Linked DNA regions of Rattus norvegicus. The protein of the gene in region 1 purifies or fractionates together with the protein of each later gene. This does not show direct contact. Links are inferred from orthologs where the notes say so. Each region holds a gene or a part of one and is shown in the gene's direction. Other genes may lie near its edges.

Region 1 (4,078 bases):
CCTTATACAGACATACATGCAGGCAAAACAGCAATGAACATGAAATTAAAAATAAATTGAAAGAAAAAACCCAGAATACACATTTGTAATCCCATTGGAGAGATGGAGACAGGAGACAGAGTTCAAAGCTAGCCTGGGCTAAAAATGACATCTTGTCTGCACCAGTCAGTCAAATAATATTAAATTTTTTTATTTATCTTTATTTTATGTGTATGGGTGTTTTGTCTTCATGGTTGTGGTGCTTGTGGAAGCCAGAAAAGGGTATGGGATCCCCTGTAACTGGAGTTATAGGCGTTCATTTTGACCCTAATACCAGTTCCGGGAATTGAACCTGGGTCCTCTGAAAGAGCTGTCAGTGCTGTAATCACTGAGCCATCTCTCCAGCACCAATAATAACTTTATTTTCCAAAATTAATTTATGTGTGCATGTGGAGGTTGGAGGACAACTTGGAGGAGTAAGTTTTTTACTACCACGTGAGAAACAGGGATGGAACTTAGTTGCCAGAATTGGCCAAATCTTATAGGTCAAGAAAATAATTTTCTCTCATAAATGCCTTTGTAGCAAATAAGAATCTCTTATCATATATATATATATATATATATATATATATAATGAGAAATGCAAAGAAAGGCAATTCTGGGCATTCCAACTCTCCAACACCCTCAGATGAATGCCACACCTCTCCTCATGAAAAAATGACTACAGAGAGAGGAGAGAGGAAAGTGGGCTGCTGTTGCACCTTGCAGGCTCCACATAGGGGAAGAGAATCAGTTTCTGCCAGTCATCCCCCGACCTCTACACACAAGCATACACACAAATAAATTAATGTACACAAAGCCCTGCGTGGTGTCACAGCCTTTAAACCCCCACCCCCCCACTCCCCCTCACCCCGGCACGCAGGAGGCAGAGCGAGAGGCAGAGGCCAGCCAGGGCTATGTAATGAGGCCATTCTCAAAAAAGAAGTTATAAGGCTGGGGTGCTGGCTCAGCAGTTAAGAGTACCTGTTGCTCTTGCAGAAGACCAGAGTTCAATTCCCCCTCTCCACAGGGTGGATAACCTGTAACTTTAGGGGGCACTGCACGCCCACGGGGCACAGACATACACGCAGGCAAAACACCCACACACATAAAGTAAAATGCGAATTGAAATAGAAACCATTAAAAAGTTATTTTAAAGGAAGATCTGTATCTCAACCAGGTACATAGGTCTGGCTGGGCCGGGTAGGGTGTGGGAGGGTCCGCTGGGGCAGGTTCAGCTAGAGGCGTACTGGACAGCCTAACCCGGAGGCAGGCTCCTAGGGCCGCCCTGACCCACGCCCTGCTCCCTCCGCCCGGCACCTGCAGGAAGGGCTGGAACCGCCTCTGCGTGCCCGCCGCCTGTTTCCGCCCTCCCGCTCCTCCCACGCGTGCCGCCCGGGACCCCGCAGCACCGCTGCCCCGATCCGAGGCCCCCTGGCTGCCCTCGGCTCCTCCCGGAAGCGCGGCGCGTGGCGGCCCGGCGGTGCGGATTGGACGCGTGGCACCAACAGAGACACCCGGGGGGGTGGGACGGAGGTGAGCGAGCGCCCGCGGAGGATGCGGTGGGGAGCCAGCTCCGGGCGCCGCCCGCGGTCGCGCGTGGGGACGTGCACGCGGTGGGGGGAAGCGCGTGACCCCTCCAAGTGCGCACCCGCGCCCAGCCCGTGCACCCGCGTAGGGTGGTGGCCGAGGCGAGTCGAGGGTAGGGGTCGCCCGCGGCCGGCGCCCCGGGACTCTTATTGTGACAGGGTGGTGCGCTGTGCTTAGTCACCGTGACCCGCGCGGCGGAGGCGGAGGCAGAGCGCGGCCATGGCGGGGTGAGTGCGCCGCTCCGGGCCGCGGCCCGGGACCAGGCCCTGCGGGCTCTCCAGGCGTCAGGGCTGCGCCTCCGAGCGTTAGGGAGGCCGCTGGAGCAGGCACCGGGTACCGGGTGGCTGCTGCTCAGCCCTCTGCGCAATGCCAGGCCCGAGCTCCGGCAGTGTGGTCACGCGTGACAGTCGCTCACTTACTGGGGCCCCTGGAGCATTTCATCGTCGTCCCCCCCATGGTGACCTAGTAGACATAACACTGGGGGACGCGACTCCAGGCTGAGCCCCAGAACCTGGGGAGCCAGCTGCAGGCCCTCTCTGTGTCCCCACATCTCCTTTGAAAGCATAACTCCTGTCCTGGCCCCAGGTCTCCAAGGGTCTCCTGAATCCCTCACCGTGGGTGTTCCAGAGGCTGCACACTCTGCCCAGGGCCTTGGTGCTCGCCTAGTGTTTTCTATACAGACCTTGCTTTATTTTCAGGCCTTTTCTGTCTTCCTGCTGTGTCCCTGGAGCTCAGAACAGTTGCAAGTATAAATGGCAGGCTCTGTAAATTTTGGTGAGGTGTTGAAGAAAGGGATTTGACATGTCGGATGAAGGGAAGGGAAGCATGGCTGGAACTGAGTGAAGAGGTCTAGAAGGGGGTGTGGAGTTTTACAGGCCATTGAGGAGCTGGGTTTCCACTCTTGGGCTCTGGGATAGGTATTGGGTGATTCTGAGCAGGAAAAGGAACGGCCGGTGATTTGAGAAGAAGTCAGTTTGAATGGAGCCGGGTGTGTCCAGTTCACTTGGCTTGACAAAAACTGCTCTAGAAATCATTGCTTAGTCTAAAAAAAAAAAAAAAAATTAAAGCTTGGCTAGATATGGTGACACAAACTGTAGTCCCAGTACACGGGAGGAAACAGCAAACAGCCTTGTTTACATAGTGAGTTTGAAGCCAGCCTAGGCTAAGACCCTGTCTCAAAAGAAAACAAGAAACAAACAAACAAACAAAAAAAAAATGTGGCAGGGTCTGGCCTAATCCAGCCCTGTACTCTTCCCTCCTTCCAGGCCCCTAATCGCTAGTGGTGGAACTGTATCTTGTCATCAGGAACCCCATGCAGCCCGAACCCAAGCCTAGCGGGGCTCCCCGCAGCAGCCAGTTCCTGCCCCTGTGGTCAAAGTGCCCGGAGGGGGCAGGGGACGCGGTGATGTATGCATCCACGGAGTGCAAGGCGGAGGTGACGCCCTCGCAGGATGGTAACCGAACCTTCAGTTACACACTAGAGGATCACACCAAGCAGGCTTTTGGCATCATGAACGAGCTTCGGCTGAGCCAGCAGCTCTGTGACGTGACCCTGCAGGTCAAATATGAGGACATCCCAGCTGCCCAATTCATGGCCCACAAAGTGGTGCTGGCCTCCTCCAGCCCAGTCTTTAAAGCTATGTTCACCAACGGGCTTCGGGAGCAGGGCATGGAGGTGGTGTCCATTGAAGGCATCCACCCCAAGGTCATGGAGAGGCTAATTGAGTTCGCCTACACGGCCTCCATCTCCGTGGGCGAGAAGTGTGTGCTGCATGTGATGAACGGGGCAGTCATGTACCAGATTGACAGCGTGGTCCGAGCCTGCAGCGACTTCCTCGTGCAGCAGCTGGACCCCAGCAACGCCATCGGCATCGCCAACTTCGCCGAGCAGATCGGCTGCACGGAACTGCACCAGCGTGCTCGGGAGTATATCTACATGCACTTCGGGGAGGTGAGTAAGACCTGGGGTTTGGGCTCAGTTGTCACAAGAAGTGGGATGGGCCAGCATAGTGCTCTCCGAGACTGGAGCGGCCATTCAAGGCTGGAGGAAGATTTCTTTTTTTCTTCCTCCTTTTCTCCATAGGGCCTCATGTAGCTCAGGCTGGCCCTAATCTGGTTGTGTATCTGAGGATGGTTTTAAGTTCCTGATTCCTGTGTCAGTCTCCCAAGTACTGTAGTCACAGACTCCCAGTATACTTAAGAGATACTGGAATGGAACGCAGAGCCCCAGGACTTGGTTTTACTTTTGTTTTTAAATCTTTTTTTAAAAATTCATTTACCTTTATTTTGTGTGCATTATTGTTTTGCCTGAATGTTTTTCTATGTGAAAGGGTCAGGTCTTGGAGTTACAGACAGTTGTGAGCTGCCACGTGGGTGCTGGGATTTGAACTCTGGTCCTCAGGAAGAGCAGTCAGTAGTGCGCTCAACTGCTGAGTCATCTCTCCAGCACCTTAGATTTTATTTTTTTTGG
Region 2 (3,965 bases), on another chromosome or scaffold:
GGCTGAGGCCCTGTCAGGAAAGCAGACTCTTACGGACAACTTGCCACACTGCCCTCCTGGCAGCCAGTTTAGAGAGATATCAGGGCCCACTATGCAGGCACCTCTGCAGCCACAGTGGACCACCAAAACTTCTGTTGAACACTTGCTTCAATCGTGATCAGTCCAGACAGCCTCCACTGACACTGAAAAGTAGTATGAACAAGACATGCATGCTGGTGAACGCCGATGACCTTGCGATAATCTCATCCAAGCCAGATGGAGAGCACTTCCTCGGTGGCTCTGCAGAAAGCCTGTGGTTGATGCAAACGCATGAAGGACTGCCAGGACTGGGACTAAGACCCTTGCCACATCCCTTTTCTCTTTATATATAAGCCAACTGAAGCTCACTTTCCAGTCAGTGGAAATACAGCTTCTTGTGTCCCTTTATTTGATATTACAATTTCAGGCCTTAAAGATTTTTGTAAATAGTTTAGTTTATTTTTATTAGTAGTAGGGTAGGCTGAGCTGGTTACACAAAAAGGCTGACTGAGGCTAGAGAGAATAGAGAGCTGAGGTTATAGAAGGCTGTGGAAAAAATGAGAGATTCTGTTGCTAAGAGTTTTAGGGCCATTTTAGTCATTGTCAAAGGCCAAGGGTCCTGAGAATGTCTGAGGTTAGGGGTTCATTCAGGAGCCTTATTACCTTATTATTACCAAATGCCTGCTGCTGTTCACTACTGCTCAAAGCTAAAAATTATAATAGCTGCCAAGTGCTGGGCCTGTCGGTAGTTAAAGCCCAGAGCAATAAGCCCAAGCCTATAAGTCACTGGGCCTGCTAGTCTAGTCCCTAGGCCTTGAATTTGGCAGGGTCTAGAACTGCCAGCACTGGAAGGGCAGGTGGACACTTTTCCTACACAGAAAGACCTGGTCATTTGATCAATAACAACTAGGCAGAGGCGCGATGGTAGGTGTTAGGAAGATGTATACACTTAAGGATTACAAAAGAAAACACAAAAAACTTTAGATCTAGAGCAAGAGCCAATCCTGAGGTTTTTCAATTCATATAAATCTAATGCCTGACTGACTTCGTCCCCCTGGAGTCTCACCCGCCAAAGGGCAGGCATCTGCGCCTTCTACCCTAAAACCACCGGCAGGTGGCACTCCTTATCGCGTTTCCTGCTGTTTCGGGGAAAGGGGTGGGACGTCCACTAGCCGGAAGCGGAAGCGTGTCCCTGGCATCCCGCCGTCCGGTCGTGCGGCTTGCGGCATGGCTTTCCGGCAGGCTCTTCAGCTGGCGGCCTGTGGTCTGGCGGGTGGCTCGGCCGCTGTTCTCTTCTCGGCGGTAGCGGTAGGGAAGCCGAGAGCTGGCGGGGATGCAGACACGCGCACGACAGAGCCGCTGGCCTGGACCGGAGCGCGCCCCGGGCACGGCGTCTGGGACTCCAACTGGGACAGGTGCGGGGACGGGAGGGTGGGGCTCAGGCCTGTGCCCTCACATGCATCTCGGTGTGGCAGATATCGGTGCCCTGAAGGGGACGGTGTGTGTTAGTGGGTCTTGAGTTTGTGTGAATCGGGGCGACGGCCCTTTGAGGGTTCCCATACCAGAAGGTGCATCTTCCGAGGGTCTTCGTGCCTGGACCATCCATCCCTCTGAGGGACCTATACTCGCTCGGACCCCATCCTCGAAGAGTCCTTGTTCAGAGACCGTCCACCCGAAGGACTTCGTCCCAGGACCTTTGTGGGCCTGAAATTCTAAAGGCTTAAATTTTACTTATAGTCAGGGTCTTGATCAGGTTTGCCTCACAAATTGTCCTGATGCAGCTTGGGGGAAAATTGGGACTACGAGCTTGCTTTTCCTCCAGAGTCAGAGAACCTGTGCTTGAAATAGAACCAAGGGAACCCATGGAAACCGGGTATAGTGGCGTAGGACTTTAATCCCAGCACTGGGAGTCAGAGGTAGGCAGATCCCTGAATTCTTGGCTCTGTAGAAAAACCCTGTCTCTAAAAAAGGAAAATGAAGTTACCTGATATTAAATGTTTCATTTTTTTTTTTTTGCCATGTCTGCATATGCAGATGGACCGGTAGGTACAGTGACTGGATCTTTGTTAGGTGGGGGAAGGATGCATGACAGACAGATGGATAAACAAGACAGGAAGGGACTAAAACTGGCATATCCACTTGGTTTCTTTCTGCTGTGCATTCCTCTCTGACAGTCCTCTTCAAATTTTGTCTGGTCCAGCCAGCCCCACACATTCCTGTATCTGCAACAAGACTTTGGCTTGGTTGTATATGGGGCTAACACCCCAGGTTAGCCTGCTCAGATAATGCTTGAGCCACCACCAAACTCTGCAAACCTTCCTCTTCACCATTGCTGTCATTTGTCCTGTTCCTGCCTCCTACATTTAGCTGAGTAGCTTCAGTTTCTTCAGCTCCTACATCCAGTCCACTAACTGCGGTCCTCAGCATTGTGATGGTCACTACCTCGTGACTAGTGAACATTTAAAGTGTGTTTAGTGTGACTTAGAAAAGAGCTCTATTTTTATTTAGTTTTAATTTAATTATAGTAATCCCTCTAATGCTGAAGGATTGGTTCCAGGGTCTCTGAACATATCAAACTCTGTGGATGTTCAAAATGATGAAGTATTTGCAGATAACCTAGACATCTAGCTTATCCTCCTGTATACGTTAAGTAATTCCTAGATTATTTACCACCCCCAATACAATAAAATTGCTACCTAAGTAGATGTTAAATTATATAGCTTGAGGTAAAAATCACATACAGAAAGGTCTTTTTAATTCAGGTGTGAACTTTTGAGTATTTTTGATGCCCGGTTGATTGAATATTGAGTATGGAATCTTCAGCTACAAAAGACCTAAGCATATTCAATTTACTTATTCAACCTGGCCTTTTGCAACCCTTCCTCCTCAGCTTTCCATGTGTGAGGAGTCCAGACTCATACTATGAGAAAATAGAGCCAAGGGCCCATGTCTGATATTTTTAATTTACATTAGGGATGTTTGTGCAAGCTTGTCCTCCTTGTGCTTAGAAGGCTGAAGTAGGGTTGCTGCGATGTCAGCCTGAGCTACACTGAGAGGGCCTGTCTTACCACCAACAAAAGGAGTGAATGAACAGCCATGGGCTGGAGAGATGGCTCAGTGGTTAAGAACACTGACTGCTCCTCCGTAGGTCCTGAGGTCAACTTCCAGCAACCGTATGATGGCTCACAACCATCTGTAATGGGATCTGTTGCTCTCTTCTGGTGTGTCTGAAGATAGCGGCAGTTTACTCATATGCATAAAATAAATAAATCTTTAAAAAGCAATGAAACAGCCCCATGACTACCGGAGTCATACAGACAGTCCTGTTCTAGGCTCTGTTGCAATGCAACTTTCCATTCTTACCCCTGTCCTATCACTGCTTGCATATTTGTGGCATTATTGACAGTTTTCCTTTTTTTCCTTCTCGTGCATGTGTGAGTCTGTGTGAGAGCCTGAGGCACATAATGGAAGTTCTTTCTTGATCATACTTCAGATTTATCGTTTAAGGCATGGTCTCTCAGTCAAGCCCAGAACTTGCTAATAGAAGTAGTCTGACTACACAGCTTCTTGTGGGCATCCTGCCTCCACATTCTGAGGGTGGAGTTATAGGTGGGTCACTATCCAGTATTTATGTGGCTTCTGAACTCCAGTCTTCCTGCTTGTATAACAAGCACTTTAACCTCTGAGCCATCTCCCCAGCCTGTCTTCACAGAAACATGAGCCTAAGGCTTCATGTTCTATGCACACATCTGTATCACCCAGAGCAAGGCTGGCCTTCGGGAAGAGTGAAGATGTGCTCTGTGAGGCTAGGCTCTCTGGGCTGGGCTTCCCCCCTGGCCTTTTCCCAAGCACTGAAAGGTGTCTTGGACAAGAGGTCACAAGACAAGACATACTTTCATAATTAGGCGAGAGCCACTGTCACTCATTAACCTGAAGAAAAGGAACGT
Region 3 (2,557 bases), on another chromosome or scaffold:
TCTCTGTGCCTTAAGTTTCCTCTCTGGTTCCTGGCTTTGCTGAGAGTGATCAGTGAGGGACGTAGTGGCTGCTGGCTTGGTTTCCAGGCTTGAGTTATAGTTTTGTGGCAGGGAGACCAGGGTCCAGGCATAGATCACACTGGGGGGGTGAGAAAGGGCCCGGGAGGATGTCAGGTTTGCTATGACGGTCCATGCTGAGTGCTGTCTCTCTTGGGGTCTTGCAGCTGTGAAGGAGGCGGCAGTGCAGCGCAAACATAACCTCTACCGGGACAGCGTGGTTCTGCATAACAGCGACCCCAATCTACACCTGCTGGCTGAGGGTGCACCCATTGACTGGGGCGAACAGTATGGTGACGGCGGTGACGGCAGTGACAGTGGTGGCAGCCCCTGCCCCTCCGAAGCAGCCACCCTCACAGAAAAGCGCAGGCGTGCCAAGCAGGTGGTGTCCGTGGTCCAGGACGAGGAGTCAGGGCTGCCCTTTGAGGCTGGCTCTGAACCGCCATCACCTGCATCCCCGGACAATGTCACTGAGCTCCGAGGCCTGTTGGCCCAGGATCTGCAGGCTGAAAGTTCTCCACCAGCCAGCCCCCTCCTCAATGGGGCCCCGGTCCAAGAGAGCCCCCAGCCCATGACAGTCCTAGAGGCTTCGCCACCAGCCTCACCCCTCCGGCACCTCCCACCTGGAAAAGCTGTGGACCTTGAGCCCCCTAAACCCAGTGATCAAGAGACCGGGGAGAAAGTGTCTAGCCCTGGTAGCCGTCCCCCCATCCATACCACCACCGAGGACAGCGCAGGAGTGCAGACGGAGTTCTAGGCATGGCCTCCCAGCTTCTGTTGGACTCTGCACTGGGGCGCTTCTCCTTGGGCACCGCAGCCTCATCTCTGGGGAGGGGTACTCCAGTCTGTGCCTTGTGGAGAAGGTAGCTGGGGTGGTGTGGCACCTCCAGGGGTCTGGCCTATCCAAGTCACTTTATGGGGTTTAGTACACCTGTTACTGCCTCGTTTTCTGTGGGCTGGTCTCCGATGCTAGGTCTGGTTTTGAGGGTTTCCTCTTTGTGCAAGGGGCTGGGGAGCCCCTCCATCCTGCCCTCACGCTGTTACCTGTTTCCCTCCCGGTGGTTCTTGACGGAGGTAGATGAAAGCATTGGTGCAACTCATGTCTAGGAAGCTGGAAAGCTGTCATCTCACTCTGGGGCCCCTTGCCTAAGTGGCAAGGAAGAGGCGGAGGCCTGGCCTCTGTCCTGCCCACTCCCTGCAGGTCCCAAGGTTAGACAGACACTAGAGTGCTCACTGGCCACACTTTGCGGGTTACTGGTGCGGGAGGGCGGGGCTTAGGGGTCTGGTAGGGGAGCGATGGAATGAGAAAGGCCCAGAATGTGTTAAGTCTGTGCAGGGGAAGTGTCCTGAGGGGAGGGTCTTTGGGAGGGTCGAAGGCCAGGATGGCAAAGTGAAGGTAGCTGAGGTTGCAGTCTTGGGTGCCCACTGCTGTGCATCTGTCTGGTTATCTACCCCTACTTTGGGCTGACAACTGCAGGGTTGGGTGTAGGCTGTCTCACTGCATGCCGGGAAGCTGGAGAAGCTCCACGGGAACATTGAGGGCCATGGCTTTGAGACACTGCAGAGCATCCTTGGTCTCTGTAACTCACGTCACCTAACCCTGACAATTCCAGACCCTTCTTCCATTGTCCTTGTGAACCATTTGGGCTTATCTTTCCCTCTTAGTCGCAAGGGTCAAACCAAGGGTCAGTCAAGTAGATGACTGTCACCTTGGGCCTCCCCAGACTCTGCTGCCGGGGTTGGGAGACCAAAGTAGAAACTGCCACTACAAGGCCCCAGGATGAGGTCTCTGTTCTGTGGACCTGCTCCCCAGATACAGGCCTCAGACCCATAGGACGTGGCCGGTGCTCAGGGACACCCAGTCCCCGGCCCTCACTCCATCGAGTACTGACTTCTTTCTCTAGTGCCTTGGGGGTCTCCATCCTTCCAGTTATGGTATGAAGAATCTATGCAAACTGTATAAGCTTCTGCTCACCAATAAACGCTTTATTTAAAGCTCATTTTCTTATGTGCTGCTGGGGTGGGGGAGAGCTGGGCCTAGGGTGTCTAGGGATCCATTTACCTCAGCTCTCTTGGGCTCATCATATGAGCTGCCAGGTCCCTGATCTGCGTACCTGCACGTGTGTGTACAGGTACAGATTTGCATGTGCATGCAGAAGCCAAAGGATCCAGGCCATTCCGCCTTGCGGTTTGAGAGGTCGCATTAGCCTGGAACTCACTAATTCGGATTGTCTGGCTGTCTGGTGAGGGCCAGGGTCTGACTTCAGCCTCCTCAGTGCTGTGACTGCACACTGGCCTGGCCCTGTGAGTTCTGGGGATGCAGACTTCCAAATGCCAACCACTTTACTGAGGTCTCTTTCTCTAACCCGTTCTCACACTGTCCTAGAGGAGGAAACTGAGGCTCAGAGAGGAGGGGAGAGACCACAGCTTTTGGGTGACAGCCTCCTAATGGCTGATCAACTCCAGTGTCCACCATGAGGGTGGGTTCCCGGTCCATGCT
Region 4 (3,981 bases), on another chromosome or scaffold:
AAGCCGGGGCATAGCCCTGTGTGCCTATAACCTCAGTGCTGTGGAGAAGAGATGGGAGGATTATTGGGGTTTGCTGGATGCCTACCAAGCTGTGCGTTCAATGAGAGACCCTGAGTAGGACACCCAGTGTGGTCCTCTCACTAACAAACACACAGGTGTTGCAACCGCTCATGCATATGCACACATGCCACACACACACACACACACACACACACACACACACACACGTGTCCTACCACCAACAGCCTTCTTGTATGGTCTGCTTCTCCAATTTTCCCTTTTAAGAGAGGGAAAGACCGTATCAGAGGCTTGATTTCCAATACAGGAGCATGATAGATAGGATGGCTCAGTGGGTAAAGGGCCTTACCAGCAAAGGACCCCCATTATTAGTGGAAGAGAAAACGAACTCCTCCAAGTTGACCTCCAGATGTATACACACACACACACACACACACACACACACACAGAGAGAAAGAGAGAGAGAGAGAGAGAGAGAGAGAGAGAGAGAGAGAGATCCAAATATTGCAGCAAAATCCGAGAAAAGATATTGGAGGGACGAAAACACGATTGGGCAAAGCTGATAATTGTTACAAGTCCATGATGGCGCGCGTGGGCGTTCATTATCCTATTTCCTCTACTTTGGGGCATGTTTGAAAATTTTCATAACCGCTCATTTTTCAAAACAGAGTGGGGAGGGGGAGTTTCTCGTGAACTTACGGTGAAAACCAGAGACGCCGTGACAAATCACAGCCAGTGGGTCACACTTACTAGGTATTTATAAACAGCCAGGTACCCAGAACATGTCCAGCACGTTCCTTGAGACTCTTTTGGAAAGCCTGCAGCCCAATGGCACCAAAAGCCCACAAGTAAGGGAATCCCTGGCCTCCCGCAGGCTCCTCCTTTTTCTCTCCGCCCTCCATGCCCCTCCTTCCGAGGAAGAGTTGCCCTGAACCTGGCAGGTATAGGGTTAAAGCAGCCAGTTTGGGGCCGCAGCAGCAGCAGAAGCAGCAGCGGCGGCGGCAGCAGCTGCAACTGTAGGCTGCGGCTGCGGCTGCGGCTGCGGCTGTGGCAGGCCTGGCTCCGGGCCAGCTGGCAGAGAGCCTCAGGAGGGAGGAGGGAGGAGGGAGGAGGGAGGAGGGAAGAGGGAGGAGGAAGAGGGGAAGGAGGAGGAGAGGAGCAGTGAGCAGGCCCGAGAAGGCAGGACTTCCTGGTGTGGGGGTTGTCAACAGCCCAGAAAGAGAGAGCCCGAGACCCAGACTGAGACGGAGCGGAGCGGAGCTGAGGAGCCGAGAGATACATCCAGTGGGGCCACGTGGGAGGAGCCTTGAGAGAGAGCGAGCCACTCAAGGGACTGGAGTCAGCGGGGGGCTGAGCCGCCCCCTCCCACAGCAACAGAGAAGACCCGTGGAGTGTTAACGGAGGCTGCGCCTGGGCTCCACCGTGGAAGCGCTGGTTTCTTCTCGTCTCAACTGCAAACTTTCCACCGAGATGCCTCGCAGAGTGAGATGCGGACGCCAGAGAACACTGGGCAGCCCTTGACTGCTGCCTGCCGTGGCCTGCGCTAGGCCGCCTTAGGATTAAAAAAAAAAAAAAAAAAAAAGGCATCTTTAGTCCCCAGGTCCTCTCTCCAGCTCAGCTCGGTGGCCGAGGCCCGAGAGGTAGGTAGTTTTCTCGGGCTGGGCGGGGCGCGCTTGGCTTGGCGGGCAGTGCCTAACCAGCGATGGGGGAGCTGGAATGGGGGTGGGGTGGGCTTGAGGCCCAGCAGAGGCCTCAGGGTGGCCCTTTCAGGGGAGGAGCCGGTTCACCCCTTTGCCCCTGGCCCTGGAGATACGTGTTGGGGACGACTTTGGATTTCAAGCATGAAATGTTCAACTTTGGGTCCCAGCTGCTTCTTCCTGTTCTGGGTGCTTTGAATTCTGTCCCCTCCGCTCCGGTCTGTCATTTCTACTTGTCTCTGGGTCTCTAGTGGCTTTCTTCTTCCTCCCCCCAGTCGGCTCCCCCGAGAGGAAGCCCCGGAGGTGGTTTGGCCCCTGCTTTTTCTTTTGCTCACGTACACACACTCTCGCTCACTTTCTGTCTCTTTCTTTTTCCAGTTTGCAAGCTCAGCTCTGGGGTTTCAGCAGCGACAGCAGCAGGAAAAACCTGCCTCTGCTCCCCCCCCCCCCCCTCCTGCCACCTCCCCTCTCCAGTCACTAACCAGGCACCCCCAAGTTCCCACAAGGCCCTCCTGCCATGACGGACCCAGACGTCCCCAGGGGCCCTGATGTCCCTGCCATGTGGCCCCCTTGTTCCAGAGGTGCCTGAGCCCCTCTTCAGGAGCCCAGCCCCTCCCCCACCCCAGCCCAGTCCGGAGCCCTAGGGACCATGAGTGGTGGTAAGAAGAAAAGTAGTTTTCAGATCACCAGCGTCACCACGGACTATGAGGGCCCAGGAAGCCCAGGGGCTTCGGACCCCCCTGCCCCTCCGGCTCCCGCTGGGCCCCCGCCCCGCCTCCCCAACGGGGAACCCAACCCTGATCCAGGGGGCAGGGGCACCCCCCGGAATGGCTCTCCGCCACCTGGAGCCCCTGCCTCCCGTTTCCGGGTGGTGAAGCTGCCCCAAGGTTTAGGAGAGCCTTATCGACGAGGTCGGTGGACGTGTGTGGATGTTTACGAGAGAGACCTGGAGCCCCCGAGCTTCGGTCGGCTTCTGGAGGGAATTCGAGGGGCCTCAGGAGGCACCGGAGGCAGATCATTGGATTCTAGGTTGGAGCTGGCTAGCTTGGGCATAAGCACCCCTATCCCTCAGCCAGGCCTGTCTCAGGGCCCCACCTCTTGGCTCCGCCCGCCCCCTACTTCTCCTGGACCACAGGCTCGATCCTTCACAGGGGGGCTGGGCCAGCTGGCAGGACCTGGCAAGGCTAAGGTGGAGACGCCCCCGCTGTCAGCCTCTCCACCCCAGCAGCGCCCCCCAGGGCCTGGGACTGGAGATAGTGCTCAAACCCTGCCCTCCCTGAGGGTAGAAGTGGAGTCTGGGGGTTTAGCAGCCGGAACCCCTCCTCTGTCACGGAGAAGAGATGGAGCAGTTCGGCTGAGGATGGAGTTAGTTGCTCCAGAGGAGACAGGGAAGGTAAGAGATGGGCTCATGGGGGGCGGGGCAAGACCTACTGTACTCAGTCGTCTGACCTATATCCTGGGCCTCCCCACCTCAACTTCCGTCTCCCCCCCCAATCCCCTATATTGGCTGCCTATTGGGTAGAGCATAAAGTCCCCTTTTCCCTTTTTACAGTTTGAACTGTGAATCCTTTCTTTTTCTGTCCCAGGCCTTCATTACTCTGCACACATTTACACCTTCCTTCCTCCTTCCTTCCTTTTCCCCTTTCCGTCTTTTTTTCTTTTCTCTCCTTCCTCTGTGGCCTTCACACTGTTGCCCTTGGCCCTGACTGTTTCCATAAAACCTGTGGCCGATGTGGCCTGCCCACTTCAGCCTTTACCTTCTCTGGCTCCAGGTGATGAGGGTGGAGGTTCCAGCCTGGTGGCTGGCTAGGCCCTGGAGGGGAGGAGCTGGCAGGGGTTTGGGGCAGCCATAAAAGGTAGGCATTCCTCTGGGTCTTTATTCTAACCAACAGCTACCAGCCCAGCCCCATTTTCAGCCTTACTGCAAACCAGTTTCTCTGAGGAATTGGGGTAGGGGGTGGGGCATATCACCCTTGGTTGGTTTTAGTACCCTAGACCTGGGCTTCTGGAGTGTGGGATGGGGTGACCTCATCGACCATTGAGTGGGAGGTAAGGAAGCAGTTGGGAAGGAGTTAAATCCTCTGCACTTTCTGTTTCCTGTCTCCAAAAGAGGAAGCTACCCACAAGTCTGGGCTGGGGGCAGGATGCCTATGTGCCTGGTGTGTGTGTGTGTGTGTTTGTGTGTTTGTCTATTTGTCTATGTGTGTGTGTGTGTGTGTGTGTGTGTCAGTGTCTGTGTCTGTCTATGTGTGTGTGTTCAGTGTGT
Region 5 (3,500 bases), on another chromosome or scaffold:
CACAAGCATCAGAGCTGGACACAAGCATCAGAACTGGACACATAGGCAGGATGCAAGCATCAGAGCTGGACACATAGGCAGGACACAACGCTTGCATGGGATTTTCTGGTACCATAAAAGCTGCTCCGTTTGGGAGGAGGCTTTCAGGTTAGATTCAGCCTGGGTCTTCTTCTGGTCTGGTGTATGAAATGGGTGGTGTCTTCAGCAATAGGGATTTACCTTCAACTTCTAGGAGGCAGCCAGAGGCAGCTGCAGTGAGCTATAGCATTTTGGGAGTTTCTTGGACTCCCCTGACCAACAGCTCATAAGGGGGCTTCTAATGCCTGGTTTTGGGGTTTTTGTGAGATAGTCTATAGCTTTTGGGGGGAAAAAACATTGTCGGCCAAGGTGGGAAAATTTTATTTAGATTATGCGTGTGTGTGTGTGTGTGTGTGTGTACGTGCACACACACATATATAAACATAAACACATATAGACTTAGATATATTATGTGTATAATTTAGGTAAATAGGTAAAAAGATTTCTTATGACTTTTTCAGATGTTCTTACTATACCCTCCTTCCTCTTACGCATTGACCTTTGTCCCACTTCCCACTCCCACCACCACCCCATTTCTCCCATTTCCTCTTCAAATTACATTTACCCTGCTCCCTGCTACTCTCTTCTGTATTGTACTCACCTTCCCCCATGCTCCTTTGCTAGTTTTCTGGCTTCTGCTATTTTTCTGACTCTAGGTTATAGAGTAAAATGTGAAGATTTGAATTAAGAGCTATCGTGAAGGAGAATATGTGATGTTTGTCTTTCTGGGACTGGATTAACTCAATGTAGTCCTTTCTATTTCCATCCATTTGCCTACAGATTTCATGGTTTCATTTTTCTTAACTTCTGCATAGTATTCCATAGTGTGTATGTATCATATTTTCACTATTCACTCCCCAGTTGAAGGACATTCAGAATGGTTCCGTTTCCTAGCTGTGGTTAGAGCAGCAGTAAGCATGGCTGAGCAAGTGTCTGTATTTAGTAGGATCTGTCAGGTAGGTAGCAAGTATCTGCCAGGTCCTTTGGGCATATGCCAAAGAATGGTCTGTTCAGTCGTGTGGGAGATTTACTTTTCCTTTTCGAGGATTCTCCACGCTACTTCCCCTAGGAGCTGTAGCAGTTTGCAGTCTACCCACTCCCCCACTTCCCCTCCAGCATTTGCTGTCACTTATCCCATTGGTCTTTTTGCCATTCTGATTGGGGTAAGATAAAAGTCTCAAGGACTTTTCTGATTTGTAATTTTCCCAATTGCTAGGGAGTGTGAACATTTATTGAACTATTTCTTAGCCATTTGTTTCTTCTTTTGAAAAGTCTCTACTCAGGCCTCGGTTTCAAATGGGTTGTTGGTTGTTGCTCTTTGATTTTGAGTTGTGTGTTCTGGATATTAATCCTGTCAGAGTCAGAGCTGGTAAGGGCTCTCTTCCATTCTGTGTACCTCCTGTTCAGCTCACTGTTTCTTAGCTTTTCAGGAGCTTTTTAGTTTTATGAAATCCTATTTATCAGTTGTTGGCCTTAATTCTTGGGCAAATAGAATTCTACTTAGAAAACCCTTTTCTATACCTTTATCATCTAGGAAACTGTCCAAGTTTTCTGGATTCTAAAGTTTTAAGGCAATCTAGCTCGAGCTGAGATTAGAACTTGTTTGTGGCTTTTCAGAATTTACTTTCTTCCCGGGCTCGTACAGTTAGTCAGGCCCTCGTGGCCTCGTCACCGCTGCTGTGCTGTGCACTTGTTTCGGAGACTTTGAGGGCTCACTGTGTTCGCAGTTGGGAGGGGAATTTAGGAATGTGGTACAGAATCTCAGTAAGGTTGGTTGAATATCTAGCTTGATGTATGTTAGAAGAAAAACATTTAGAATAATATGGAAGTTTAAGTTATAATCCTTTGCAGTCTTGTGTTAAGTGTTGAGGACTGTGGTGTGTGGCATTGTTGATTTTGTGTTTGGTCACCACAACAGTGTCCTGAGAAAATAATGAGAGATATTCTCACCCAGAGCTTTCGTGGTCCTTTTATTCTGTTTTCCATAATTTTAGAAATTATGTCTTCCCTGCATAGATTTTTGCAAACTGTTTTGTTTTCAGTTTCTTTTATTTTTGAGAACTTTGTTTTGTCTTTATTTTGTGAGACAGTGGCTCAGTATATAGTGTTCATTCTTATCTTTTCAGGTGCTAGAATTGCAGACATGTGCTACCATGCCTGGCTTCAACTTCCTTCCTTCTCTCCTTCCCTCCTTCCTTCCTTTCTTCCTTCCCTTCCCTCTTGCATACTTTGTAATAAGTTTTTCTATATTGAAGATTGTGCCATACTTGGATATTTGATGATTAGTTAGCATGCTAGCAGACTGCATTGTTTTACAGAGTAAGAAGCGACAATATGACCAAGAAATTGAGAATCTAGAGAAGCAGCAGAAACAGACAATTGAACGACTAGAACAAGAACACACAAACCGCCTGAGAGACGAAGCTAAGCGCATCAAAGGAGAGCAGGAGAAGGAGCTGTCCAAGTTCCAGAATATGCTAAGAAACCGAAAGAAGGAGGTAAGGGTAGCTATTGTTGTTAACTACCACAGCCGCTTTTTAAAATGCAAATCGCAGACTAAGGAATTAGGGATAATTGTGGGTGACTGAATAGTACTCATTTATTTGTTCCTCTGTTCTGTCTTCCAAACAGTGATAGGCTGGCAGTTAATAAAGTCAGATATTATCCTCATTTTGCTGGCAAGAAATCGGGAATAAAAGAGGTTTCAGTGCCTGTTTTTGAACTAAGTCTTCAAATACAGTCCAAGCTGTATTTCTTTCTGCCATCCCTTCTTATTAATGCGATATTTAGGGCCTTCTTTGGAAATACCTTTTCAAGAGAACTTAACTTCTTTGGTATTTACTGGTAGCAGCCAGAATTATTATTTACAATTTACTTGACATTTGAATTTTTTTATTAGGTTTATTGATTTTTTTTTAAGACATTTTACCAAGCAAAACCTGAATAGCTTGATATTCAAAATAGCACCTCTTACTATACCTTTGGGGAAAAAAAATTATGTGATTATAACAAGGTTTTGACTTTCCCGAGCTGCTTCCGGGTTGTTTTGTAGCTGGTTATCAGCTAGTAAAGAGGTTCCTAGATTAAAATCAAATACATCCAAGCGATTGCCAGTGATGATTTTATGATTTGTTTTACATCTGCAGTGCAGGTGAGGGATTTACATTTTCAGTATATAAACAACCCCAGGGGAAAATAATTACGGTCAGATCTATTAGGGTTGAAAGAAAATATCTCAGCCAAACTAGGAAATACATTTTCACTTTTGTTTCATGTCTCAGTTACCAAGATTTTAGCATCTGACTTACACATTTAATTAAGAGGAAAACTGAACATCATATTATTAACTCCTGAGGATATATTCAGGTAGGACTGAGCATTAACAGCAAGTACCTGATGCTGTCCTTAGGACTGAGCATTAA
Region 6 (4,092 bases), on another chromosome or scaffold:
TAAAAAAATATGTCTAAAAGAGGTCATTGTTTACCTAACATTCTACGTCAACCTGCTTCCAATCTAACTGCAAGACCGTCATTTCTTTACAAGACGGGCAAGATAATTTTCACTTTCAAAAATGCATCATCAAAACAATGATTTCCAATTCGAATTTCTAATTTATCTTATTACTCCAAACATACGTGTAATTGTCCAAACAATGAACAAATACTCTCTTACCAAAACTATTTGTTGCTTCTTCTTTACTGCCTTTCACTTTTTCAAATTAAATAGAGAATGTTACCTGTTCACTATCACACAGAAGCCAAATGTCATCATAAGTGTAAAACACTATCTGTGACAAATTCTGTATTCAATTAATATCCGGTGCTAGCTAGCTGCTTGTTAGGGGTCTGACATTAAAAATATTGCGGGGAAGCGTGGGGGAAAAAAATCAAAGTTTAAACCCAGAGGAGAAGCCTTGTGAAGAAGCATGGCTCTTTGACTGACCAGCCCAGCCAAAGGCTAGTCCTTTTGCTGCCTGTGAATATCTAATCATAAAGTCAATCAACAAAGCTGTTTAAGCACCATAGTTTCTAGACTGGAGACAAACTTTTAGGATGTCACCATTGCCCTTTTCTGTCTTAGTTGGCCACGACCTGCTCATGCATAATTCACAAGTTTCTCTGCCCTGACCTTGGGTTGCCCCAGGCGAGGCATACACCCCGCCTTTTTTTTTTTTTTTTTTTTTTTGCCGTTCAAGAGCCCTGTTCTGCTCTCAAAAGGGTATTAACGGTCTTATTTATTGGGCGCAAAGCAAACTTTAATACCCAGCAGGGCGGAGGTCACCTGTGACCCCAGGCCAGGCCATAAAGGTGCCAAGGACACAGGGCTGCTCTCTACTACTAGGGCAGAGGTGATGGGCTGCCCTTGCCTCGTGAAGAAACCCAGAATCGCAGTCCCAAGAGGCCAACCTAGCCTAGTTACCCTCCCAGTCACCTTGCACTGAGTCCCGAGCTGCCAGAGTCACCGCCGCCGCCACCGTTCTACTTCCGGCCCTGGCTCCGCCTACACACGCCTACCCGCCATCGCAATGCACTATGGGCCACCGCTTCAGTCGTTCGACGCTCACCGGACAGGAAGCGCCTCGAAGAGAGTCTGCGACCGGACGCCTCTAGGTGAGACAGAAGCCAAACAGGAGGAGGAAGTGGAGGGTAAGTGCTTCCGGGTCCCTCAGCTAAGACTCCGCCATCTTTCCTACACTTAACTTCACCCTCTTTTCCCTCTTGGAAACACTGCACTGTACGCATGCGTGCTTTGGCCTGTCCCCTAATTCAAGCTCCCTACGGAGTCAACGTCCTGATCCTTGGGGTTGGGGAGGTGGATGTAATGTGGGGTAAAACGAGCGCGTAAAACAAAGCGGCTTGGGGCGTTTGTGCCTCGCGAGCCCCCGTTGTCACGGGCGTTCGTGTCGCGCAGCCTGCTGGGAGTTGTAGTTCCAGGCCCAGGGGTGCCTGGGAGGCGGGAGAGGGGCTGGGGTTCCTTAGCGCCGATTCCGCGGGAAGGGCCCCGGGGCCTCACACTGCTACTCGCGGGACCGGCGCGTCTTACCCAGAGAGACGCTGTACCTGGAGCCCGCGCCGCCGCCGTTCCCAGCCGGCTCTGGAGCGCGGGCGAGGGCCACGGGGCGGATTCCGGAGCTGGTGAGTGCGGCTGCGGGCTGGCGGGGAGCGCGGGCCCGCGCGGCCGGCCTGGTTCCGGGGCTTTCCCCCGCCGCAGCCCCCCCGCGGCCGCCTCTGTGTTTTGTTTCCGCTGGTCCCCGGCGCTGTGACTCCCATTTCCGTTCGTGGAGACTTGAGGGAGCCGGGTGGGGAGGGGCGGGAGAGGCTGTGCGGGGAGCCGAGGGGAGGGGCGCGGGAAGCGGCGTGGCCGGGGCCGCGCTGCGGGACGCTGCGGAGTCGCCCGTCGCCAGGCACGGTCCAGGCTCTGCGCGCTGACGGTGCGCATAGTCCCGGAGCTCCCGGGTCTCTCTGAAAGATGCCAGGCTTGCCTATCACCGCACTCGACCATCCCCGCACTCCAAACCCAGTTGCTTTTCTGGAACTGTCTCAAGAGTCGCACCGGTGCCATCATTCTAATGTACAGGATAACTTTCTGTTTCTTTCCCGAAGATGTCAGTGAAAGTTAATATGCCTTTCCAACTTTATCCCCCTCTTTTTGTGGTGTAGTGCAGTGAACACAACGAGGGAGTTTAGTGATTCCACCCTTAGGTTAAACAGCATCGAGAGTGGTGCCAACGCATCGTTTCATGATAAGCAGTCATTTGAAACTAAATCCTTAGGTAGGCCAGGGAGATGGTTCGACAGGTAAAGGCATTTGCTGCCAACCAAGCCTGACTGTTCAGCCTCAAATCCAGGTGGAAGGAGGACAGGACTGACTGGCCTCTGACCTCCACAAATGCGCACAAGCACCCTATAAAGTGTTTGTGTTTGTGTGTGTGTACACACGAGTAAGTTTGTGTTGGGTGTGTGTGAGTCAAATTCTAGCCTGGCTGACCTTGAACTTGCCGTGTAGACTAGACCCGCCTAGAGTTTAGAGGTCTATCTGCCTCTACTTTCAGTGCGCTGGTATTAAAGGCGTGCTCTACCATGCCTAGCAAAATAAGTGCAATTTTTTTATTGGTTATTTTATTTTACATTTCAAAAGTTTATGTCCCTCTTCAATTTATGCAAACTGGTAGCTTGAGCTAATGATAGGTCTGACTGCTGTCAAGAGCCAAAGCATACAAGTCCACCATTGATTGTCACATTCTTAGGTGCCCCACTCCACCAGTCACTGGCCACCTTGTTAGCACCCTCTCCCTCGGTATTTGTATGAATACTTGAATGCCAACAGGATTGAAGTCCATTTATCTGTACTCAAGAATAGAAGTGTAAGTGGGGGTACATAGTCCTGACAGTGAATTAAGTACTAAGTGAGATAGCAAGTTTGAGGAGCTTGGGGAGCCAAGTACTGAATCAACCTGAGTCTCTGGCAACTGTACAACAAACCTACAGGACTGAAAAGGAAATCAGTAGTTTTGAGAACTCGTATGCTTTTCACCAGAAGGGGATTGGGGGCAGGATTTCAGACAGGGTTTCCCTGTATACCCCTGGCTGTCCTGAAAATGTTTTCTGTAGACTAGGCTGGCCTTGAACTCAGATGAACCTGCCTCTGCCTCCCAAGGGCTGTGATTAAAGCATGCACCATTGCCATCTGGCTCAGTTTTTAACTTTTTAATTCATTCATTCACTTTACATCCCAGTCGTTCCCCTCCTTGCCCTTTCCCCCAAATCCCTCACCCCATTACTCCTTTGAAGGGAAGCCCCGCTTCACCCCACCCTGTGACATCCAGTCACAGTAGGCCTTAGCCTATCCTCTCCCACTGAGGCCTACTGGGCAGTCCAGTTAGGGGAAGGGGATCCAATGCCAGGCAACTGACTGAGACAGCGCCACTCCAATTGTTAGGGGACCCACATGAAGACCAAGCTGCACATCTGCTACACATGTGTAGATGGTCTAGGTCCAGCCTCTGTGTGTCCAGGTTAGTTGACTCTGGAGGTCTTCCTGTGGTGTCCTTGACCCCTCCAACTCCCTCATTTTTATCCCCAACTCTTCCACAAGACTCCCTGAGCTCCGCCTGATGTTAGGCAGGGGTCTCCACATCCATTTCCATCAGCTGCTGGGTGAAGCCACTCACAGGACAGTTATGCTCGGCTCCCATCTGCAAGCATAGCAGAGGATCATTAATAGCAGCATTGGGGCAGTTTTTAACTTTTAATCAGATTTGTGTTTTGTTCTTTACACACACAACACAGATGCACATACTATACTTTTTTCTAATGTTGACCATATATTCTAGGAAATACACAATGCACCATGGATAGTTACTTTTAAATTTCATTTTGGAATAATTTACATTTGTGCATTTCTTCATACCCTGGATTCTTTGATTTACTTTGGTGAGCTTCCTTTTTCTGTGCTGCTGGGCTTTGCCAACTTTGGTAGTTGTCCCAAGTTAACTGAAGACTTGATCTATTCCACTTATTAGTCCCTTGTCATTTTCAGGAG
Region 7 (3,500 bases), on another chromosome or scaffold:
TTTGGTCTCTCACTGCTGGGACCCAGCTTCCTAGTCTCTGGCTGTCCCTCCTGTGTTTGTACATAGCTGTCCATGTATGTTCATCACAGTCCTTTTTCCTTCAGGAGGGTATTGTGTATTTGTGTGGTCTGGACCAGACGTGGTGACGTAGACCTTGCTCCATCTTTCCTTTTGCCAAAGGGAAGGAAGGTGCCACCAGCTCACTTACAGCAGGCCTGTCATCGGCCTTCTACATACAGAGCAAAAGGGAAGGAAGGTGCCACCAGCTCACTTACAGCAGGCCCGTCATCAGCCTTCTACATACAGAGCAAAAGGGAAGGAAGGTGCCACCAGCTCACTTACAGCAGGCCCATCATCGGCCTTCTACATACAGAGCAAGAGCCCAATAATCTTCATACTTAAAAATACTGGGAAAGCCAGGCATGGTTGCATGAGCCTTAACTATCAGCTCTCCAGAGGCATAGGCAGGCAGACCTATGAGTTAAGGCTAGCCTGTTCTGCATAGTGAATTCCAGGATGGTCAGGACTGCATAGTGAGACCCTATCTCATAAACAGAAGAAAGAAAAAGAAAAAAAGGAAACAACCACAACACCAAAATGTTGGCAAATATTTTCTTGTTGTCTCAAGTGTAGCCATGGCTAGCCTGGAATTCACTCTGTAGCCCAGTCTGGCCTCTGCCTCCCTAATGCTAGGGTCGTAAAGGTGTGTGTCATCACAACCAACAGTTTGCCTTGTAAATTACTTGACCACTGAGGCCTCTTGGCTCAGAGGGGAAGGGCACAGACTGGGGCAGATTTGGGAGCAAATTTGTGAACTTGTCTCGTGAGATCTGACAGTTTGTATAGTGTTGAAGACTTCGCACACTTTAGTCATTTGTGCAGTGACTCCAGAATGAGTATCATGTTTGTTGATTAGCAAGCCTGAATGTTCACACTCTTCTAATCACTTGCTCACACTTTCAAGAAGTATCACATCAGAATAAAGTTACGCAAAGACCATTAGCAAGATAAAAGTGAGTGGTCTCCACACTAAGTAATAAAGACCTGTGGATTTTGGAGAAAAAGATCCCAGTGTCGTTACCTGCTGAGAATGCAAGGAGCATCTGCTTTGACATGGTCTTCTGAGTGACATCCTCTGTCATGTACACGGCACCACCCATGGCAGTAAGTCAGACACCCAGTCTTGGCAGTAGAATAAACCCAGTGACTGTACGCTGACCTGGCAGGTGTGAGTGATAAAAGCACTTTAGAGTGAGGGACAGAGAACCCCTCGAATAGGATTCTGAGTTGTCTACAGAGTGCATTTACTTTTACACTTTTGCTAGTTGACATCTCTAAACCAATGTATCCCTCTCTCCCCAGGGATGCCTCTGCACTGCTGGACCCCATGGAATGCACGGACATGGCCGAAGAGCAGAGAGTGCATAGCCCTCCCGCTTCACTAGTGCCAAGAATTCACGTGATTTTAGCCCAGAAGCTGCAGCACATCAATCCATTGTTACCCACTTGCCTTAACAAGGAGGAGAGCAGAACCTGTCAGTGTGAGTGTTGGGGCCTACCGATGGCAGGTTCCCTGTGTGAACTGCAGTCCCTGCTCAGCACAGGGAGTTTTCTAGTCATGTCTGTGGGAGATGAGACCTAAACGACGAAGGGTATAGATTGTCTTTGTTCTCACGTCTATGTCACTTTCTAATTTTTTTAAATTTTATTTAATCTTTTTTTTTACACTCCAGATTTTATCCCCCCTCCTCATTTACCCTCTGACTGGTGCACATCGAATACCCCCCAAACCTCTCCCCCTCACGTCTCCATGAAGATGTCCCCATCCCACCCCCTACCCCACCAGACCAACCCCACTCTCCCTGGAGCCTCCAGTTTCTTGAGGCTTAGGTGCATCTTCTCTGATTGAACCCAGACTGGCAGTCCTCTGCTGTACATGTGTCGGAGGCCTCATCTCAGCTGGTCTGTGCTGCCTGGTTGGTGGTCCAGTGTCTGAGAGATCTCAGGGGTCCAACTTAATTGAAACTGCAGGTGCTCCTACAGGGTTACCCTCCTCCTCAGCTTCCTCCAGCTTTTTCCTAATTCTACCACAGGGGTCAGCAGCTTCTGTCCATTGTTGGGTGTAAATATCTGCATCTGACTCTTTCAGCTGCTTGTTGGGTCTTTCAGAGGACAGTCATGATAGGTCCTTTTTTGTGAGCATCCCATAGTCTCAGTAATAGCGTCAGGCCTTGGTGCCTCTCCTTGATCTAGATTCTACTTTGGGCCTGTTGCTGGACCTCCTTTTCCTCAGGCTTTTCCCCATTTTTGTCCCTGTAGATTTTTCAGACAGGAACAATTATGAGTCAAGAGTTTTTGACTGGGATGCCAACCCCATCCCACTTGATGTCCTGTCTTTCTGCTGGAGGTGACTGTACAAGTTCTCTCTCCCCACTGTAGGGCATTTATTTCATCTCAGGTCCCTTCCTTTAAATCCTGAGAGTCTCTTACCTCCTAGATCTCTGGCATATTCTGGAGGGTCCTCCCACTGAGGAAGAGTAGAATATGCGTGTGTCAGGGCACAGATGTGGAGGTAAAAGAAAAACTTAGAAAATCCACCTCTCCTGCTGCTGTATGGGTCCTGGGGATCAAGCTTAGGTCATCAGACTTGGTGGCAAATGCCTTTACCCTCTGAGCCATCTTGCCTTACCCTAATGGCATCATTGTCTCAAGAATTGTAGTACTCCCTCCTGCTCTTGTACGTGCACACTCTCATTGGCCATTCCTTCCTTCTGCAGTTGTGTCCAATTTCATGTCCGAGTTGTCTCCAGTCAGAGCAGAGCTGCTTGGATTCCTCACTCATGCACTCTTGGGAGACAGTTTGGCTGCTGAATACCTTATATTGCATCTCATCTCCACCGTGTAAGTCTGTGCTCTTCCTGGGAACTGGGGTGTGGGAGAAAGAAGGGAACAGCCGTGATGTTTGTTTGTGTCTTTTAGTAAATCAGCTTTGTCTTCAAGTGGGTTTTTACAAATGCTGCACCAAACACAGACTCCTTTCCCCACTTTACTTCGTTTCACATAACGCATTTGTTTCCGTCTCCAGATGGGATGTGACTGATGAGTAAGACGAACTGTTGGTTTCTCTGCACTCGTTTTATTTTTTATTTTGTATATACTTCAAATGTTGTATCTCCTGGTCTCCTCCCTATACCCTGTTTGCTTGTTTATGTGTGTATACTTCTCCAGGCTCTGCTTATAAAACAATGAAGTCTGTCTTTGTGTACATTTAGTTTGTGTATTGACTTTAATGCTTCCACCCTGTTTTGGTTCAATTTTTTATTTTGTTTTTGTTTGTTTGTTTTTGTTTTGAGACATGTTTTTTGTTTGTTTTGTTTTTGGCTTGTTTGTTTGTTTGTTTGTTTAGCCTTGCTCGTCTTTAGCTCTGTAGACTAGACTAACGTCGAACTCACAGGTCTCTTCCAGCCTCTGCCTCAAGTGCTGGAATTAGAAGTGCACAC

The links.
Region 2: the proteins of Keap1 (region 1) and Pgam5 purify together in Homo sapiens (affinity purification with western blotting; 6 studies listed by BioGRID and IntAct, with this or other methods). This does not show direct contact. The link is inferred for Rattus norvegicus from reciprocal best matches to the Homo sapiens genes KEAP1 and PGAM5.
Region 3: the proteins of Keap1 (region 1) and Niban2 purify together in Homo sapiens (affinity purification with mass spectrometry; 3 studies listed by BioGRID and IntAct, with this or other methods). This does not show direct contact. The link is inferred for Rattus norvegicus from reciprocal best matches to the Homo sapiens genes KEAP1 and NIBAN2.
Region 4: the proteins of Keap1 (region 1) and Tsc22d4 purify together in Homo sapiens (affinity purification with mass spectrometry; 4 studies listed by BioGRID and IntAct, counting the BioPlex papers as one, with this or other methods). This does not show direct contact. The link is inferred for Rattus norvegicus from reciprocal best matches to the Homo sapiens genes KEAP1 and TSC22D4.
Region 5: the proteins of Keap1 (region 1) and Slk purify together in Homo sapiens (affinity purification with western blotting; 3 studies listed by BioGRID and IntAct, with this or other methods). This does not show direct contact. The link is inferred for Rattus norvegicus from reciprocal best matches to the Homo sapiens genes KEAP1 and SLK.
Region 6: the proteins of Keap1 (region 1) and Gabpa purify together in Homo sapiens (affinity purification with western blotting; 3 studies listed by BioGRID). This does not show direct contact. The link is inferred for Rattus norvegicus from reciprocal best matches to the Homo sapiens genes KEAP1 and GABPA.
Region 7: the proteins of Keap1 (region 1) and Mcmbp purify together in Homo sapiens (affinity purification with mass spectrometry; 3 studies listed by BioGRID and IntAct, with this or other methods). This does not show direct contact. The link is inferred for Rattus norvegicus from reciprocal best matches to the Homo sapiens genes KEAP1 and MCMBP.

The regions. Positions count from the first base shown.
Region 1 is NC_086026.1:28,051,243-28,055,320, reverse strand, and holds the start of Keap1 (kelch-like ECH-associated protein 1), read left to right. Parts: upstream 1-1,278; 5' UTR 1,279-1,554; intron 1,555-1,695; exon of another isoform or gene 1,696-1,835; intron 1,836-2,873; 5' UTR 2,874-2,920; coding exon 2,921-3,559; intron 3,560-4,078. UniProt on the Homo sapiens protein: Substrate-specific adapter of a BCR (BTB-CUL3-RBX1) E3 ubiquitin ligase complex that regulates the response to oxidative stress by targeting NFE2L2/NRF2 for ubiquitination.
Region 2 is NC_086030.1:52,067,858-52,071,822, forward strand, and holds the start of Pgam5 (serine/threonine-protein phosphatase PGAM5, mitochondrial), read left to right. Parts: upstream 1-1,165; 5' UTR 1,166-1,245; coding exon 1,246-1,433; intron 1,434-3,923; coding exon 3,924-3,965. UniProt on the Homo sapiens protein: Mitochondrial serine/threonine phosphatase that dephosphorylates various substrates and thus plays a role in different biological processes including cellular senescence or mitophagy. Modulates cellular senescence by regulating mitochondrial dynamics.
Region 3 is NC_086021.1:36,619,912-36,622,468, forward strand, and holds the end of Niban2 (protein Niban 2), read left to right. Parts: intron 1-224; coding exon 225-814; 3' UTR 815-2,057; downstream 2,058-2,557. UniProt on the Homo sapiens protein: May play a role in apoptosis suppression. May promote melanoma cell invasion in vitro.
Region 4 is NC_086030.1:24,586,007-24,589,987, reverse strand, and holds the start of Tsc22d4 (TSC22 domain family protein 4), read left to right. Parts: upstream 1-1,181; 5' UTR 1,182-1,658; intron 1,659-2,093; 5' UTR 2,094-2,364; coding exon 2,365-3,108; intron 3,109-3,981.
Region 5 is NC_086019.1:256,449,639-256,453,138, forward strand, and holds part of Slk (STE20-like serine/threonine-protein kinase), read left to right. Parts: intron 1-2,396; coding exon 2,397-2,576; intron 2,577-3,500. UniProt on the Homo sapiens protein: Mediates apoptosis and actin stress fiber dissolution.
Region 6 is NC_086029.1:37,373,976-37,378,067, forward strand, and holds the start of Gabpa (GA-binding protein alpha chain), read left to right. Parts: upstream 1-1,292; 5' UTR 1,293-1,685; exon of another isoform or gene 1,686-1,746; intron 1,747-1,984; exon of another isoform or gene 1,985-2,121; intron 2,122-4,092. Other genes in the region: Atp5pf (ATP synthase-coupling factor 6, mitochondrial), read right to left, coding at 1,115-1,292.
Region 7 is NC_086019.1:192,712,882-192,716,381, reverse strand, and holds part of Mcmbp (mini-chromosome maintenance complex-binding protein), read left to right. Parts: intron 1-1,362; coding exon 1,363-1,541; intron 1,542-2,777; coding exon 2,778-2,901; intron 2,902-3,500. UniProt on the Homo sapiens protein: Associated component of the MCM complex that acts as a regulator of DNA replication.